Linked DNA regions of Schizosaccharomyces pombe. The gene in region 2 interacts genetically with the main gene of each other region. Each region holds a gene or a part of one and is shown on either strand. Other genes may lie near its edges. The genes, in order: apc15 and apc14.

Evidence for each region.
Region 1: mutations in apc14 (region 2) and apc15 are lethal when combined (synthetic lethality), as found in Schizosaccharomyces pombe (one study listed by BioGRID).

Annotation. Positions count from the first base shown.
Region 1 is NC_003423.3:1,514,934-1,520,590, reverse strand, and holds apc15 (anaphase-promoting complex platform subcomplex scaffold subunit Apc15), read right to left. Parts: upstream 3,896-5,657; 5' UTR 3,865-3,895; coding exon 3,757-3,864; exon of another isoform or gene 3,690-3,756; coding exon 3,387-3,689; 3' UTR 3,017-3,386; downstream 1-3,016. Other genes in the region: rtc6 (mitochondrial 54S ribosomal protein bL36m), read left to right, coding at 101-379; RNA-binding protein Yme2, read right to left, coding at 602-2,923; tas3 (RITS complex subunit 3), read left to right, coding at 4,463-5,657. UniProt on the Schizosaccharomyces pombe protein: Component of the anaphase promoting complex/cyclosome (APC/C), a cell cycle-regulated E3 ubiquitin-protein ligase complex that controls progression through mitosis and the G1 phase of the cell cycle.
Region 2 is NC_003424.3:4,514,154-4,524,917, forward strand, and holds apc14 (anaphase-promoting complex subunit Apc14), read right to left. Parts: upstream 4,355-10,764; 5' UTR 4,144-4,354; coding exon 3,820-4,143; 3' UTR 3,680-3,819; downstream 1-3,679. Other genes in the region: omt2 (4-alpha-hydroxytetrahydrobiopterin dehydratase), read left to right, coding at 3,389-3,679; etf1 (electron transfer flavoprotein alpha subunit), read left to right, coding at 4,893-5,918; Sm snRNP core protein Smd1, read right to left, coding at 6,385-6,674, 6,731-6,780, 6,824-6,837; methyltransferase Mtl16, read right to left, coding at 7,319-7,693, 7,750-7,839, 7,887-8,263, 8,312-8,466, 8,513-8,523, 8,602-8,677, 8,724-8,797; SPOM_SPAC27D7.09C (But2 family protein ), read right to left, coding at 9,235-10,386. UniProt on the Schizosaccharomyces pombe protein: Component of the anaphase promoting complex/cyclosome (APC/C), a cell cycle-regulated E3 ubiquitin-protein ligase complex that controls progression through mitosis and the G1 phase of the cell cycle.

The DNA.
Region 1 (5,657 bases), on a different chromosome or scaffold from region 2:
TCCATCGTACATCATTTATTTAGCTCAGAATTACTTCGGATCCAAAAAAATTTAAACATCTTGACTTGAAGTCCCAGTTTCACTTTTTTTTTAACTTATAATGGCTTCATTAGGTCGTAAATTTTTTGCTGTGGGTGTTTTGTCACGAGTCTTCCCTTCTGCTTTTAATGCACAAAAAGGGTTGTTAAAAAATGCATCTATGTTCTTAACCCCTGCTTTCAGACTTTCTCCTAGCCTTCTACCTTGGAACTTTTCAAGAGGTTTCAAAGTGAAAGCATCAGTAAAAAAGCGTTGTTCATCCTGCTATTTTGTGCGTCGCAAAGGTAGGTTGTATGTACTATGCAAAAAACATCCGAGACATAAAACCCGTCAAGGTTAATGACTATAACCGGTTTCGCTTCTTCTTTTTTTTTCTACCTAGGCTAATTCTTCATTACGCTCACTTCATATTACGACGATTTTTGGACTACCTACCAAATCCTTACTCCCTTCTCTCTCGTTAATGCGTAGTCATTAAATGTGATATTATTGTTGACATTATAGCTTCATGCTAAAGAATTCATAAAAACATACGTAATCTTAAATGATATGCTTTCGCATCTTAGTCGATTTTTTTCAAAGCCTCAGTAAGCCTTTCTATACTTTTCTCATTATCAGTAATAACACCTTGATTTTTCTGGATACGCGTCGTTAAGTAATGAGCACGATCCTTCACACCTGATTCAAGGTTCCCAAGGTCCTTTAGCATTTGTAGCTCCTGTTCATCATTCTTGATAGCATTGTTAGCCATGCCAATTAACGCGTTACATCTCACCAACTGCATATTAGCACTTAATACTGGATCATTTACAAGTTGCCGGAAAGCCGTAACATATACAGGTTTTCCAGCGTAGACTTTATCCGGTCTTGCATTCACTGTGGTAATAGTAATCAATTCTGATTCTTCCAAGGCACGAACGGCATCGTCGTGTCCTTTGAACAGTGGGTCAAGCATCAACATATGATAGGGTATATATTCATGTTGAGATAAATAAGTAATTAAGGTCCATGACTCTTCTGGAGTGAACGTTGGCTTCTCCTCACTGGTTAAAGAAGCAGGCCGTAAAAATGTTTGCAAAATATCAGAGGCATTTTGACTTACAATACCGCCAATTGCTTCAGAAACACTGGAAGAATTAACCCGCAACCTACGAGCTACATAATCAAGATCACGAAGTCGGCCACCAATCTTCGGTAATTGGACCCGCAATTCTTTCCTCAATTCTTCTGTTTGCATCTCTTCGGGTAAAGACTCTATGACATATCGCTGAGCAAGTACAGGGTCAGCATCTCCTAATAACAATGTTCTATTTTCCCAACCGTTGACATATTGCTCTAATGACTTGGTGCCTCCAACATCGGGTGTTAGCATTAGTACATGAGCAATTCCTTCCTTTACCAAATTACCAGCCCATTCAGCAACCACTCTCTGCATCGGGTTTGATAATTTACGAAGCTGGAAATTGTCGAGAATAACAACAGGTAAGCGATCTGCATGAACTTCTAAAAACTCAGATTCATCCAACACACTAGTATCGGCTTCTTTATGCTCTCGTAATGCTAGAGAACGCAATACCGTTTGTGTTGTGTTAAGAATTTGCCGCACTTGTCCTTCACTAGAAGAAACAATTCCCGTTTTTTGTCCTATGAGACCTTGTGCAGCCATATCGATAAGTGACGATATGTTGTTTAGGAAGCTAAAGAGGGGGAAATACCCCGTTTGGCTAGCAAGAGTACTTACGAACATTTCCGTATTAGTAGTGGAGAATAAGCGATCACAGTCGAAAAACAAAACATTTTTTCGTTCTTTAACAACTCGATCTACCAGATCACGCTTACCACTACCACGAGGACCTTGAACAACAATAAAAGAATGTAATGCTTCATCCAACCATTCTTTCAACTGTTCACAATCCTTTTCACGTGTTGTCCAAATCGGTGCCTTTATATTTGTACCATTTTCGTGAAAGGGACTCAAAACTATATCGCGAGTTTTCTTTTTGACCCACCCAACAACATTGATATTTCTCAACTTCTGACCATGTACAATGTTTGTCTCGACAAAGAACTTTCTTATCGGATCGAATAAAGAAGCCGTTAAAACTGTAATAGCCGCCGCAACCAAAGGAATAGTAAAACGAGGATGAGAGAATAACCAGTCTTTGAAGGCGACAAAGCGGTTCATATGTCTGTATCGCATGTGGAATTCTGTTTTCCCATAAACAAAACCATGCATACAGTTTAAAGCTGACGTAGCGGACCTTAGCGATGAAAAACTCAAAGTAGCAGAAGTAGGTGAATTAATGGTCACGGATCTTAGTTTTCCATATGTCCTAAAAATACTATACAATCTTTCCTGGGAAAGGGGCGGACCTTCGAAATTCACATCTACTGTACGAGATGGAAATATATATAAATCTTGAAGCCAAGGAATACCATGTACCATGTGTGGAATCGGGGTAGAGAAAGGGTGTAAAATTGTTCGAACTGGACGCTTTCGAAATGATTCACGGACGTGTTCTGAAACCGCTTCTGTATCTTGTGGGAATTCCTTGTAACGTACTTTTAAAAATGCTCCTCCATCTTGCCATCTGAATATGATATCTTCCAACTGCATTGTATCAGAGCTTGGAAAAGCAGCACTTAGCTGCTTTTTCAAGTTGTTCTGAAAGAGCAACGCAGTGTATCGCTGAATGTAGAAATAGGTTGGAGTATTGACGAGATTATCCACGAAGAAAAGACCTTCATTTGGATCTAGCTTGATATGACCAATATTATGTGCCACTAAAGAATGAGCATAGCGACGTGGAAACATAAACGGTCGTGCATGACCCAAAAATGAAGTATTTCGTAACCCCGTGAACCGAGATAGAAACAAATTCATAGTTTCGGGTAGGCTTTAAATTAGTTTCAACGATGTCTAAGAAATACACAACGGTTTGTTGCACTCCAATATGAATATTCAAACACCAAAAACGAACAGCCAAGAAAATGATTATTTAAGTTATACGGTTAACAGTAAGTCAGGATTCCAAATGGGATCTGTCAATGATGTAAAAGGCTAGTGGTTTAAGAACATTGCTTAAAAATGCTAAATAAAATTAGCATTGTAAATTTAGACATCGTTAAATAAATTCAAAACAGTAGAATCAAATGGGTCATTTGAATCATAAAGAGTTGATAGCCTTTTAGCATGCATAGGTTGTGTATCCAGTTATTATCTTCAAGTTCTTTTTTCGTAAACAATTATGGGAATAAATTCGATTGTACATACATTTTTCAATCGGGTAATGCAGCAGCATAGCTTTAGCAATCATGGTTGATTCGATATTATTATTTTTAAAGCCTTAATTTTGAAATCCGTATTCACTTATATCTTCGTAAAATTCAGAGGCGTCAGCATTTGTGATATCAGCATCCAAGTCGACTTCTTCAATATCGTGATCTTCTACTTCTTCATTATCACCATCCATATCGTCCATTTCGCCTTCTTCAGGAAAGCTCCCACTTCCCAATTCTTCTTCATCCAACTCAGTGTCTTGATTAGCCTCTTCGCGCTCTTGCTCTTCCAAATCAAGCTGCTCTTGCATAGACCTATTTAATCCAATGGGCCGAATAGTGCGAAATCCAAACTGTTTAATTGCAAGCTCCTAAGATTCGTTCAAGTTAGACTTTTCTCATGCACAGAAACTCGTTGAAAATCGTAAACAAACATACCTGAGTCTCCAGTCTAACTTCTTCCTTTTCCAATTCTTTCATAGAAGGAAAAGACGTAGGATACCATAGTTGATGGGCTGTATTAGCCATCAACGACATAAACGACATGATTTTATGCTGCAAATAAATATTGGTATTCAAGAATCAGCTGGTGTATTGTAAGACTAAAGGCGTTACTATGGTGACTGGGTTATTTACTAACCCAGTTCTGTACAATAAACAAAAAATGTAAACACAAAGCAATGCTGAGAAGCCACAAAATTAACTTTCGTGTTAATTTTTGGTTCACGTATTAATTAACAAAAGCTGTTGAACTTATTTCTCCTCTTATTTTTGACTGATTTGAAATGTTTATTGCAACGCTTGAACAAGATTATTAACTAAGAGTATCAAAATGCTTATTTTCCTTTAATGAAGAGGTCAAGGGATAAGAAATACTTATGTTCCGTAACGTTTCATGTTCAAGTTTCAGCATTTAAGTAATTGAAACTGGCTACTCTTTTCAATTTCACGTAGGTGTACTTTAAATTGGGTTTTTTAGGATTCAATTATTTGCAAATACAAAATTTCAGAAAAAAGATACCTGTATGTATCTCGATTAATATCCTTACTATCTAATGTTACACATACTCATCAAACTTCTTAACTTACTCCTAACCACTATAATTTAATGAGAGCTTTTGATCCTATTTGAGCTACGATTTTAATGGAGAAAGGAATCAAAAAATATCTTCCAAGTTTACCGTTTTTAGCTTGTATTTCAGACTTTCCCGAAAATCATGGAACATCTCGGCGATCAGCAACTGTTTCGCTAGAGCGAGTTCACGAATTATTCACTGAACATTGGCTTTCTAATCTAAAAAATAGGAGAGAAAAAAGGCAGGAACTAGCTGAAGAAGCAGTTTACTGCCGCTCTGAAATGCTATCGCAGAGGAAATTGCTGGCTGCTGTTGACTTCCCACAGCAACTTAAGAACAGTCCTGCTAAAGCAAAGGCAACCCATACTTCCTCTGGAGTCACAAAGGAGGTAAGAGCTTCAAAAAAATACACATCATCTAATGTTGAGTTTCCACTCGTTACGGATGGAAAGGAGAAGCCAGTGAAGTCGAAACAACTAAGAAAGAACTCCGTTACTGAATTTGAAAAACCTATAGAAACGAAAAAAAGCAAACATCGGAAAAGCAGAAACAAGTTTTTAGATAAAAGCTCAGGAAGCATGGAGATTGAATCGTGGGACAACTCTACTTCTGATTCAATAATAGAGTCATCTTCTAGACTGCATGAAAGCATTTCACTTCGTGAAAATGATATTCGCAGTTCTGACTCTAAGTCTGTTGGCTGGGATGATAATTCTACTGGATTTCGTGAATCTTCTAAGTCTCTTGATCATACCGATACGTCGATGTTTATGGAGCTTGATTCGAATAGCGATCCACAATTTCGTCCGAAGTATCAAGCAAAATCCTCTTGGTTTGCCCCCGATGATCCTGAAGCTTCATGGGGAAACCTGGATGATGGTTGGGGCGAAACTAATGGTTCTTGGAGCTCTACAGATGATACAAAACATTACAAAAACGAATGGGCGGAGAGTATAAATCTTGACAATTTCAATAGGCCTTCACAACAAGAGGATTACGACAAACCGAAAAACACTCAGGTTTCAAGATCATCGAATCATCATCGACGATATGATTCTTACCATCCAGATAGTCGTTCAGATTCATATAGGTCCAAACGAGAACATTACGATAATAGAGATACAGGGCCTCGAAGTAAGCATTTGGAGAAATCTTCGTATGTATACAACCAAAATTTTGAAGATCGCACTCATTTATCAGACCATGGAGCCCATTTTCATTTAGGGAATGCCAATGATTTTAATATGCAAGGTTCGTCGCGTA
Region 2 (10,764 bases):
ATGGTTGGTCTCGGAGTGGGCACAAGTAATTAATAAACAAACAAACAAAGAAAAGAGAAGTAGCAACTGCGTTCAAAGGTAACAAAGATGCGGGTGGGGATTTTAAGAAGGAAAGAAATGAATTAGATAAATAAACGTATCAATGTTTTGTTACGGTCGATAGGTTTATTGGCGCGGATGATGGCAGCTGTGTGTCCTATTAAGATGGAAAATGCGAACGGTAAGAGAAACAATTGGCAAGGATGGAGTAATGGAAAAGAAGTAAATGCACGATGTATAAAAACTTAAGTTTTTTCCATATGGTTTTTCAACTAACTAGAGGTGTAAAAAAAAAAAAAAAAAAAAAAAAAGCAATTTCCCTTTCCTTTTTTAAAATGGGGTATATATTTTTTGCTTTCTCTATTACAAAGGAACGTTAAGTTTCAGACAAACAAAATATACGACAGCCTAAATGGCAGCAGCGAAACAAAACAAAAACGATGCAATGCAATGCGATGCTTTTCAGTACAAATCAAAAAGCCAGCCCAAAATAGTTCTGTAAAGATAATTACAACAATCTGTCCGGCCGGATTGCTGGAGGAAGGATGGATTGTATGTTGGGAATAATGAGAGGGCTTGGATGCTTTATAATGAGATACAGTAATTAGAGAACAAAGAAGTTATTTCAAAGAAATCACAAAGTCAAAAAGGACTTTATTTGCTCGCAAATATTACGACAATTACTGGGAGAATGCTTGATTGAATGGGACGTACTGTTTATGCTACCCCTGCCTTTGTCCCGTGTAACACAAAGTGGGAAGAGTAACAAAGAAACGAAGTAAGCCAAGTAAACAAAGAATCTCAACAGCAGCTTTCAGTGGCGAAAACAAAGCGTTGAAAACAAAGGGAATCAACGAAATTTATAGACCTACGATGAAAATTTCAGTAGCCTTTACTGTTAGGCATTTACTGTGAACGTTTTTGCAATGCCCCTGAGGGGCTAGCTCGAGAAGGGTTTGTAAAACAAAGAAACTTTAAAATAGGAACAAAGAAATCGGTCGGCTTTCGTTACTCTATCTAAAGTTATGATGCGATGTCAGTAAGCTCTAATATAAGAGGACGATAATGGAAAAAAAATCCCATAAAAAGCGGGACAACTGATCCAATTTGGACAGATTGAAAGCCAACGCGACTCGCGTTAGATAGAGTAAATAGCGAGAAACGCTAAATGCATTTTCTTTTATGGTGTTTGCTTTGTCTACTGAAGCAAAAGGCTATTTATTCAAATCAGTGGTAATTAGTGTATAGCTTGTAAAGGTAAGTTAGTCCTTTTGAAAGTTTGAAAAAGATGATAGATAAAAAACAACGTTGTATCCATCCCGAAAAACATGGACAAGTCAAAGAAATCACATTTTTTATTTGCCTTCATTAGTGTAGTAATCTCCACCTTGCTGTATAATTCGGTAAGGATTTCTTTTGTTATTTACGCGTGCTTTTTTCCATACATCTTTTTTCGCCAATGCAAAACCCTCTTTTAACAGTGTTTCTTCTTTCAACCCTTATTCAGCGCATGCGTCTCCTATATTTGCGCGTTTTACACAGAGGTCGTTTGACATCCAGATTGTTCTCTGGCATGAAAGATAACTACATCATTTAATATTAGCAACTTGCTCACTTTCTTTTCTTTTCACATAAACTATAAAGCTGTTCGGCAATTAAAATTCCCCACTGAAATCCAATTAGCCAACGATCAAACTAGATCGCATTTATTGAGTGATTTGAAAACAATGCTTTATGCGCAAAAGTGGAGAAGGTAAATGTAGACAACCTCACGTTTTTGTTTATAAACATTAGTAAACGCCGCATTCGATTTTAATGTATCACGTATAAATCGGTAAATATGTGTGTACCACGGTTGTAGAAGTGCTCGAAGACAAGTAAGAAGGAAGCATTAATAACTTTTGGCAATTAAAAAGAGGTTGGGAATTCAGAACAAAAAAAGAGTAAAAGCGATATATTTATTCTATTCCAAAAGATTTGTATGCATGTATAAGAGATTTTAAGGCTGATGATGGTTTTTGATTATACTTTGGGTTTACATTATTTTTGTTTTGTTCTGTTTTGTTTGTTTTGTTTTGCTTTCGTATACACTCTATTTTTTTTTAAACGTAAAATGATCATTAGCGATGTTGCTTCAGTAAAGCGAGAGTCAGTGAACAATGGTTAGATTAAAGCTTTGCTGAGTAAATATTTTTTGGCTTTCTTATTAAAGGTCTTATAAGAAACATATGTGTATTTTTTGTTTTATTGCTTAGCCAGTTTACTATTTTTGGGACAATGCGTTTCGTAAACGTTTATGATGTTTGATGTACGTGACGAATTGTTCAAAAGTTAAATTTTGAGGTTTAAAAAAAATGAAGGCCTGAGAAACCGCTTCTATCTCTATGGTTGTTTATATCACCAACAAATGTCAATTGAGAATTTGAGGAAAGAACAGAAACCTAAGAGGAATCTTGTTCTTAAAGGATGAAAAATCAACATGACAATTCCTTCATTTTATACATCTTGGAAGCGAAACACAAGAAGGGGTGAAAGGAAGTTGAAGAGCTTGAAAATGTCAGTCAGCAAAGGAATTCCACAATTTTTTTGATAAGTGACGTGAAAGAAACCTTTTGAGTTTGGTTTCAATGCTTCATGCTTCTCGAGAAAAGAGGCGGTCTTGGGTTTTTATAATTTTGTGTTTGAAGGTCCCATTTGATATTTGGAATGTTGCTGCAGTGAAACCTAACTGTTTACAAGTATTTTTATTTTTATTCATAAATGTCTCGTAAGCTAAGTCTCACCTTTTCTCTTATGCAAACAGGAGGTTATTTGATTATAGTTATCGAATAAATGGATGATTGATCCATGTATAAAATGATATTGTTAATGGTATTGATATCTTGTTTTAAAACATGTTTGTTACTTATAGAAGCACTATGTGTTGAAGCCAAGTCGATAAACTTTTAAAAATTAGGAAGTGTTCCATGAATAAAATATTTTAACATTAAAAAGAGCGAATGACTATTTACCCATAAAAACTGATGGATAAAATGCTACAAGACCAAACCAAGCATATTTTATTTATTTTGGAAATAAAACTAGGAAACTGTTTATACAATTAACAAATATAATTCTAATGCTCCTCTGTAGAAGAGGTTCTTTTAGCGTAGTAGCTAAATTTACTCTTTTGATGTTGTGAATAAGACAAGACGATATGATTTCGTTCTCTTTCACATACCAAAGTAAAAGGAGGTAAATTGAGTGTATTAAAACAGTTACGTTCTACACACATCACATTGATATTTTACCTAAATTTTGAAGAAAAACATTTTTTCTGGAATAAACGTTGGTTTAGAAGGTTGAAAAAATGAACACATCAGCTAGATTACTGGCGTTAGTCTCGAAATCAAAAAACAACTGGATTCTTCAACAAGGAGATACAAAACTATTTAAAAGCTTTCGTTTTAAAAACTTCATTGAAGCTTGGGGATTTATGAGCTGTGTCGCATTGCGTGCACAACAGCTAAATCATCATCCCGAATGGACTAATGTATACAATAAAGTGGATATTACGTTGACAACTCACGATACAAAGGGACTTACAGAAAAAGATTTAAAGCTGGCAGAATTTATTGATACACTTGCAAAGGATAACTGAAAGCTGCAACCAAGAGGGTAGTAGCGGAAAACTATCTTGAGACACAGATTGCCAGAAATTATTCTTAATATTTTGAATTAATTTAGTGTTTAGTGATGTGGTGTTTGAAAGGATAAGAATTTATATCATAAACTCATTAATCACCATTCAGCCAACTGGTCAAGTTGTTGAACATGTTTTGTCAGATGCTGCATAATAGCTTGCCTGTATTCTGGAATAGAACTTCTGCTGGAAGCAATTCTGGATATTGCAATTCTACTTGCCCTTTCATTTCTTTCTTGCTCGGCCTCTTCACCACCTATAACATCTCGATAATTCCAAAATTCAATGGCTTTTGAAGCTTCAGGGAGTAGAAGTGGTTTCTTGGCGAGAGGTTTTGGGTTGCCAGACATGGAGAGTCTTTGAAAGACGTTTCCAAAAGTTCGATAACTTTTGGACTGACCAGTACCAGCAAACGGATCCATATGACCTCGAAACGTTTTAATATACAAAAGTAAAAAAAACCCCCGTGAGTACTAAGAGACAATGACTTCAATCATTGATTTGTTCTTCTTTAAAAGAGAACCGTTTAAATATGAAAATTGTAATCTCTTTTGTATTTAAGCAGTAAGTGAAGAGGTTTGGACAAGTGATTAGGAAATTTCACCGATTTTCTTGTTTATTTACTATCTTGTGTGCGTAGTTGAACAAAACTCCTTGCCATCGTTAGAAAGCAATGCTTGTGGTATAAGAATGTGGAGTGTGTTATTAAAATAAAATAGTGAAGTCACCTTTTGTCTCCTAATATCTTAGTGAACTTTAACGTTGATGAACGATTCAATAACTGTAATGCTAAGAAGGATACATTGAGTTTCTCATATTTTTTTTTATTTGAAAAGAATTTTCATTATTATTATTTTTAATGATGCACCTAGTTATTGCAATCGCTATAGACTTTAAACTTTGTATTGAAAGAATTTGTCAAAATATTGGCAGTTGGTTATCAAAAAAAATAAATGTAAGGTATATGAAAATTAGGATGTTTTCATACTCACGAAAAATCATTTCTGGTAGATAAATCACTTAAATATATCACGATTACTTATTTTTAGTTATTTTACCTTTGAAATGTAAGACTGTATTACTTAAGTTTTTTCTTAGTATAATATGTGAACATACATATTGTCAGCGTACATCCTCATTCACCCTCAAACCTACAACGAAGTATTCTAACATGCTAAGGACTACTAGCCGGACATTTTCTAGGGCTTTGTCTTCTTCTAACTTTAAAATAAATTGTGGAAGAAGGCATTGGTTTAGTGTTTTGACGTTGCTTGAGCATCAGGGAGGGAACTTGTCTCCAGCATCCTTGTCAGCAGTAGAAGCAGCAAAGCGTACCGGTGGGGATGTTTTTGGATTTGTAATCGGTAAGGATTCTTCTCAAATTTCTCAAAAGGTAGCAAAATCGGTGAACGATTTGAAAAAGGTTATCTACGTTGAGAATCCGTCATATGAGCATAACATTCCCGATCAAATAGCCAATGTTCTTTTTGAAAATGTTAAGAAAAATGAAATTAGTCATGTTTTTTCTGCTCATTCAACTGTTGGTAAAGGGGTGATGCCTCGTTTGGCTGCTATGTTTGATGTGATGCAGATTAGTGACATTATTGGTGTGGTTTCTGCTGACACATTCGTTCGTCCGACATACGCGGGAAACGTAAACGTTACTGTGTCTACAAAGGATCCTATTAAAATCGTCACCGTTCGTGCATCTGCATTTGACGCCGCTCCTTCAAGTGGTGAAGGAGCAGCCACTGTTGTTGAAGGTATTGATCCAAAACCAGCTGCTCTACAAGAATGGGTTAGTGAGAATATTATAAAGAATGCTAGGCCTGATTTGTCTTCTGCCGAAAGAGTTGTTGCTGGTGGTCGACCTTTGAAAGACAAAGAGACATTTGAACGCATCCTTACACCTTTGGCTGACAAATTGGGTGCAGCAATTGGTGCTACACGTGTTGCCGTGGATTCTGGCTATGCTGATAATTCTTTACAAATAGGTCAAACTGGAAAAATCATCGCCCCAAAGCTTTATATTGCTGTTGGAATTGATGGTGCTATTCAGCATCTTGCCGGAATCAAAGATAGCAAAGTCATTGCTGCTATAAATCGCGATGAAAATGCTCCTATCTTTCAAACAGCAGATGTGGGAATTGTAGGTGACTTATTTGAAATCGTCCCGGAGCTTACTGAAAAACTTTGAAAATCATGTTGAGGAATGATTCCTTATTTTTCATAATATCACATTTATTTCAAATTTCACATCTTTTTAGAAGTTAATAAAATACACGTTTATTTAACTGGGTACTCGTAATAAATTAAGGAAATTTTTGATGTAATATTTAATTATATACCAGTGAAACAACTCTGAAGTCGTTTTATACATACATTTATGAAGCCACCTCAGCAAAGCTATCGTAGGTTGATTATCAAACATTTCAACGTATGAGAAAGAAAGGGATTTTTTTAGCGGTCTAGATATTTAACCAGAGATAAATGATAGAAACATGGAAAACATAGAATACGCATACACTCTCAGCAATACTTCAATGTCATCACAAAGCAAATCTATTAAAAGAAAATAAAATGCAAAGGCCGATTGATATTGCCAATAATTTTAAATTCTCTGACAAAAATAAGGGTGCGAAAAGAGAATATTTTCATAATATTTAAAACCCACGAGAAGCACCGCGGCCTCTGCCTCTAGTTCCACGGCCACGTCCACGTCCACGACCTCGTACTACCTCTTTCTTCTTTTGTTTTGGCTTTGTGCTATCATCAATTAAAAGGGTATCAAGTGGTAACGAGTCTGGGAGGATGTAGTAGCGTATGTTATTTCCACGAATTGACAGAGTTTCTACAGGCACTGGCTCTCTACCTTTGACAGTCATTTTAACAGCTTTTAAATGGGTATTCATTTGCATATCAACAGAAGTAATCGTTCCGTGAACAATTGTGCCTACGCGATTTGGTAAGTTTGGTTCATTTATTATACGAAAGTAAGGCTTTACGTACCATTTTTTAACTCAATAGAGACAGTTTCATTCGTCAGCTTCATTAAAAAGCTAAACTCGTTAGGAATATGTATAGATTTTTTATCATACTTACCGTACCAACTTCATGGTGTGTGCTTTGGTGTTCCTGGCAACTGCAAAAATCAAGTATTATGTTCGACTAAAACACATCAACAATAGATAAAATCATCAATTTTATGTTAAGATATAATGGATTCTGAAGTTTTACTAGTCCAAAATAGCTTTGTGATATTAATAGGCTGATCTTCATGTGCATTTATTTTTCCAGTATCTGAGAATAAAGTTGAGAAGCTAAGACTTCTTAATACAGATTCGACTGTTGAAAAAGCTTGATACTAATTTTAATAATTAAGTGAAAGCACTCATTAGTCTAAATAAATGGGTTTCGAACCCAATACTCGAATGAGCTTTAAGGCATCAAATTTTAGAGATAAAATTATTATGTATCGCATGTCATTTGTTTTAATCATTTATTTTATACAATTTAAGACATTTTATTCAAATACAAAATTCAAAGCTTTGGCTATTCAATATAAGAAGATTACCAAGTGAATTTTCACGAATTGAATTATTTTTTATTGTCCCGTAAAGCTCGCGCTAAAGCTGAACAGAAACTTTCATAAACATTATAATCATATCCTTCAATCCATTTACACTGCAATTGATTATCTATTACGTTCAGTTCACATTTCATTTGTCCTTCCAGACTAGAAACAGAAGTTTGACTTTTGGATATCCGTCGAGCTTTACGAGACCAAGTGATAGATTTTGTTGATATTTCCAAAACGGATCCTTTTTTAGACCACGGAATTTTGTTATCATCTAAGAATTTCTGTAGAATGTCATCAATTTGAGCACATAATTCTGGGTCTAAAGTCCAATTCTGAAGAACCTTATGGGGGAAATATTTAGAAAGGGAAGTTGAAGAAGGACGTATAAGTTCCTTTGGATCCTTTTGTTAGTATCATGAATTTTAAATATCGTTCGATAGCAGCATACATTGTGTGGACGCATAGCCTGAAATGACCAGCAAATTATCCAGCGCTTAGTCTTTCCAAGTGCGAGTTCGTAAATTCCATAATTTGATATCTTACAGATATAAGTTAAAAAAATTTTAAAGGCTAGTTAGGACTTACATTTTGTTCACGCAATTTATCAACCACAGCAGGTACACTTGATTTTTTGCCAAACATACAGGTATACCATTGAATTCCTTTCCTTTTTTTACTTTCAGTTAAGATTTTATTGGCAAATCCGACTTCACCACCCTCTGTAACCATTTCATGATAAACTCCAGTACAAACACCCGATGGTGGATTTTGCTTAAAATTTATGAAATCTTCCTCATGTTCATAAAATGGGGGATTACACATCACAAAGGTAAATTCTTCCATCCCTTCGGTATCAGGGAGTAAGCAGTCTTGTTTAGAACGAAGCACAATTTTGATCTGGGATTCCATGTTATTTTGAAGAATATTGCTCTTGGCTGTTTCAAAAGAAAATTTGTCAATTTCTAGAGTTTTGAGTAATTAGTAAAAGCCTGTGAAAAATCAAAGCTTACCGGTGCCAACGAAATCATATGAGTACATACGACAGCCTAATAATGGGTATATACAACTAGCGCCGGTACCAATATCCAAACCAATGATTCTTTTTTTATCCTTTTGCCCAGATGTACTTGACAACAGGTCATGAATATATCTTATATAAGTGGCTCTGAAAAGTTGGTTATAAATGATGAATAAACAATGTGTTAATATACCGGTTTGGAACCTTTAAATGAATTAGCATTTATGAGAGAAGGGAAATGTTTGTTTAAAAGAAACATTGGTGATGCTACACATCTCTTACCATTGGACATAGACGATTCTCAGGAAATTCAACACGAAGAGAATAATCCCGATCCAGAATTGCTTTTCCTAACGTACTAATTTATAGGTAAGCAATCGTTTAACATATGTGAGTTTACCAACCGAATAGCATCTTCGTTCCAAAAATCAATGCGACCATTTTTGACGCTACGTTCAATTAGTATATAAATTGGCATTGAGAACGCCCTACAAAGATCTCAAGTCGGGATAATCCCTTGCTAAACTATCGAAATTTATAATATCAGTTTTATCAGTCATATTTTTGAGTACGTAAATTTTTTTTGCTATATCGCCTTTATCGGCGGTTGCTTGGTTAAAAAACGCAAATTTGCTCGTACAAATAACGCTTTCGAATGCCGTATAATTAGTGGTAATATATAGAAAAATATTAAAGGTACATTAGGTGAGCAAAAATAAATACAGCATACACTGAGTCTACTTAGGTAAATGGTACAACATAATCGGTGGCCCTTGAATAGATTTTTCCATTTAACAATAGCGTCTACCCAAAGATTACTGGAAATTATTACTCATAAAGGAAAGAAAAGTAATGAATTTAAATGCTAATGAAGTTAAACTAGATAATGCTTCTTGATTTCTCAATAAGTTAAATTTAAACTCGTAAAGTTAATCCCTCAAGAGGATCGGCTTCTTCGAAGAAACTCAAATAAGAGTCATCAGTGAGAGCCATCATTTCATAAGAAACCGCGGTGTATGAGTTGGGGCATGTAACGTTGGTAGCATAATCGCAACCAGAGCTAGAGCAGTTGAAACGTCCAATTTCGGCAATGCGGTTTGGACGGTTGGAGTAAACAGTAGAATCGTTGGCGACGGAGGAGAGGTTGAAAAGAATGAATTGACCAACACCATTGCTGCCTTCAACAGTGATTGGGAAACCGCTAGTATCGAGATGTAGGTTGAGTTCGCAACTGCCGGAAACTTGAGGAACATCAAATGTGAAAATCGTGTTGGTATGATTGTTTTGCTTCTGAAAGACGACTGGAGAGTAAACATTACCGGAGTTGGAACTGGGGTTAGCAGAATCGATCAAACGAATTCCATGTGGGAAAAGAGGGTAAACAGCTGAGGAAGCTGCTGCGGATGCAGCTTTTGCCGTGGCAGTAGCCGATGCTGTAACAGGAACAACAACACATTTGGTGGTGTAAGCAATTGCCCCACTAGAAGTGCTTGCTTTAGCAGACGATGAAACGCGAGTTGAAGTTGAAGTAGCAGCTGAACTAGAAGAAGAAGAAGAAGAGGATGGAGACACGAAGGCCTCAATAGCAATACCTGCACAATTGGGGTTACCATTTCCGGCTCCGAAGTATACTTGGTAGACCTGATCATTATCACTAGCAGGACAAGCTACCGCAGATTGGGTTCCATTATATAGAAGATTGTATCCAACATTAGTAGCATCACCAGCACTGAACTTAGTGGAAGCTGCATTAGCATCAGATTTGAAAATAGTGGTGCCATTGCTGTCAACCGAAGCGTAAAGATTTCCGACAACCAGTCTTCCGTTACTCATAGAAAAGACAGCACTAGTACTGGTACCATCAGTAGGATCCAGGTAAATAGCGCCAGAGTCTCCTACATAGAAAGGGTGCAAGTGGACATAACTGTTGCCAGAATGAATAGACATTAGGCCAAATTGCTTGTTGTTCAAAGGGTCATCACGCTTATGCAACGGTGAAGCTAATGTGCCCGAGGCAGCGAGCAAAGAGAGCAATGTGGAAGCAATGGGGATTGAAGTAAGCTTCATAACGTAAGTTAAACAAAAATGCAAGAAAGTCAAAGCAAATGAATGTTTTTTTTTTTAATTGAAACTTTTAATAATAACTAAAAAATTGGAGGAATTTCTAGATATTGCAATAAGATTGATCAAACTGAAGAAGATTAATCACTTATTGTCAACCAAAGTAAGAATTCCTTTTTTCGTATCAGATATTTCTTTAAGTGTTACCAACAATTATTTGCCAAGCATCGTGCTTATATTTATAATAATGAACATTATTCTAGAATTTTAGTTCGATAAAATTTAAGAATATTCTATGAAAAAAACCCGGTTCAAATAATCCGCTTTACACGGCGCTTCCGAATGGCAGTAATTATGTAATAAACATGTGCAGTTTTTCATATC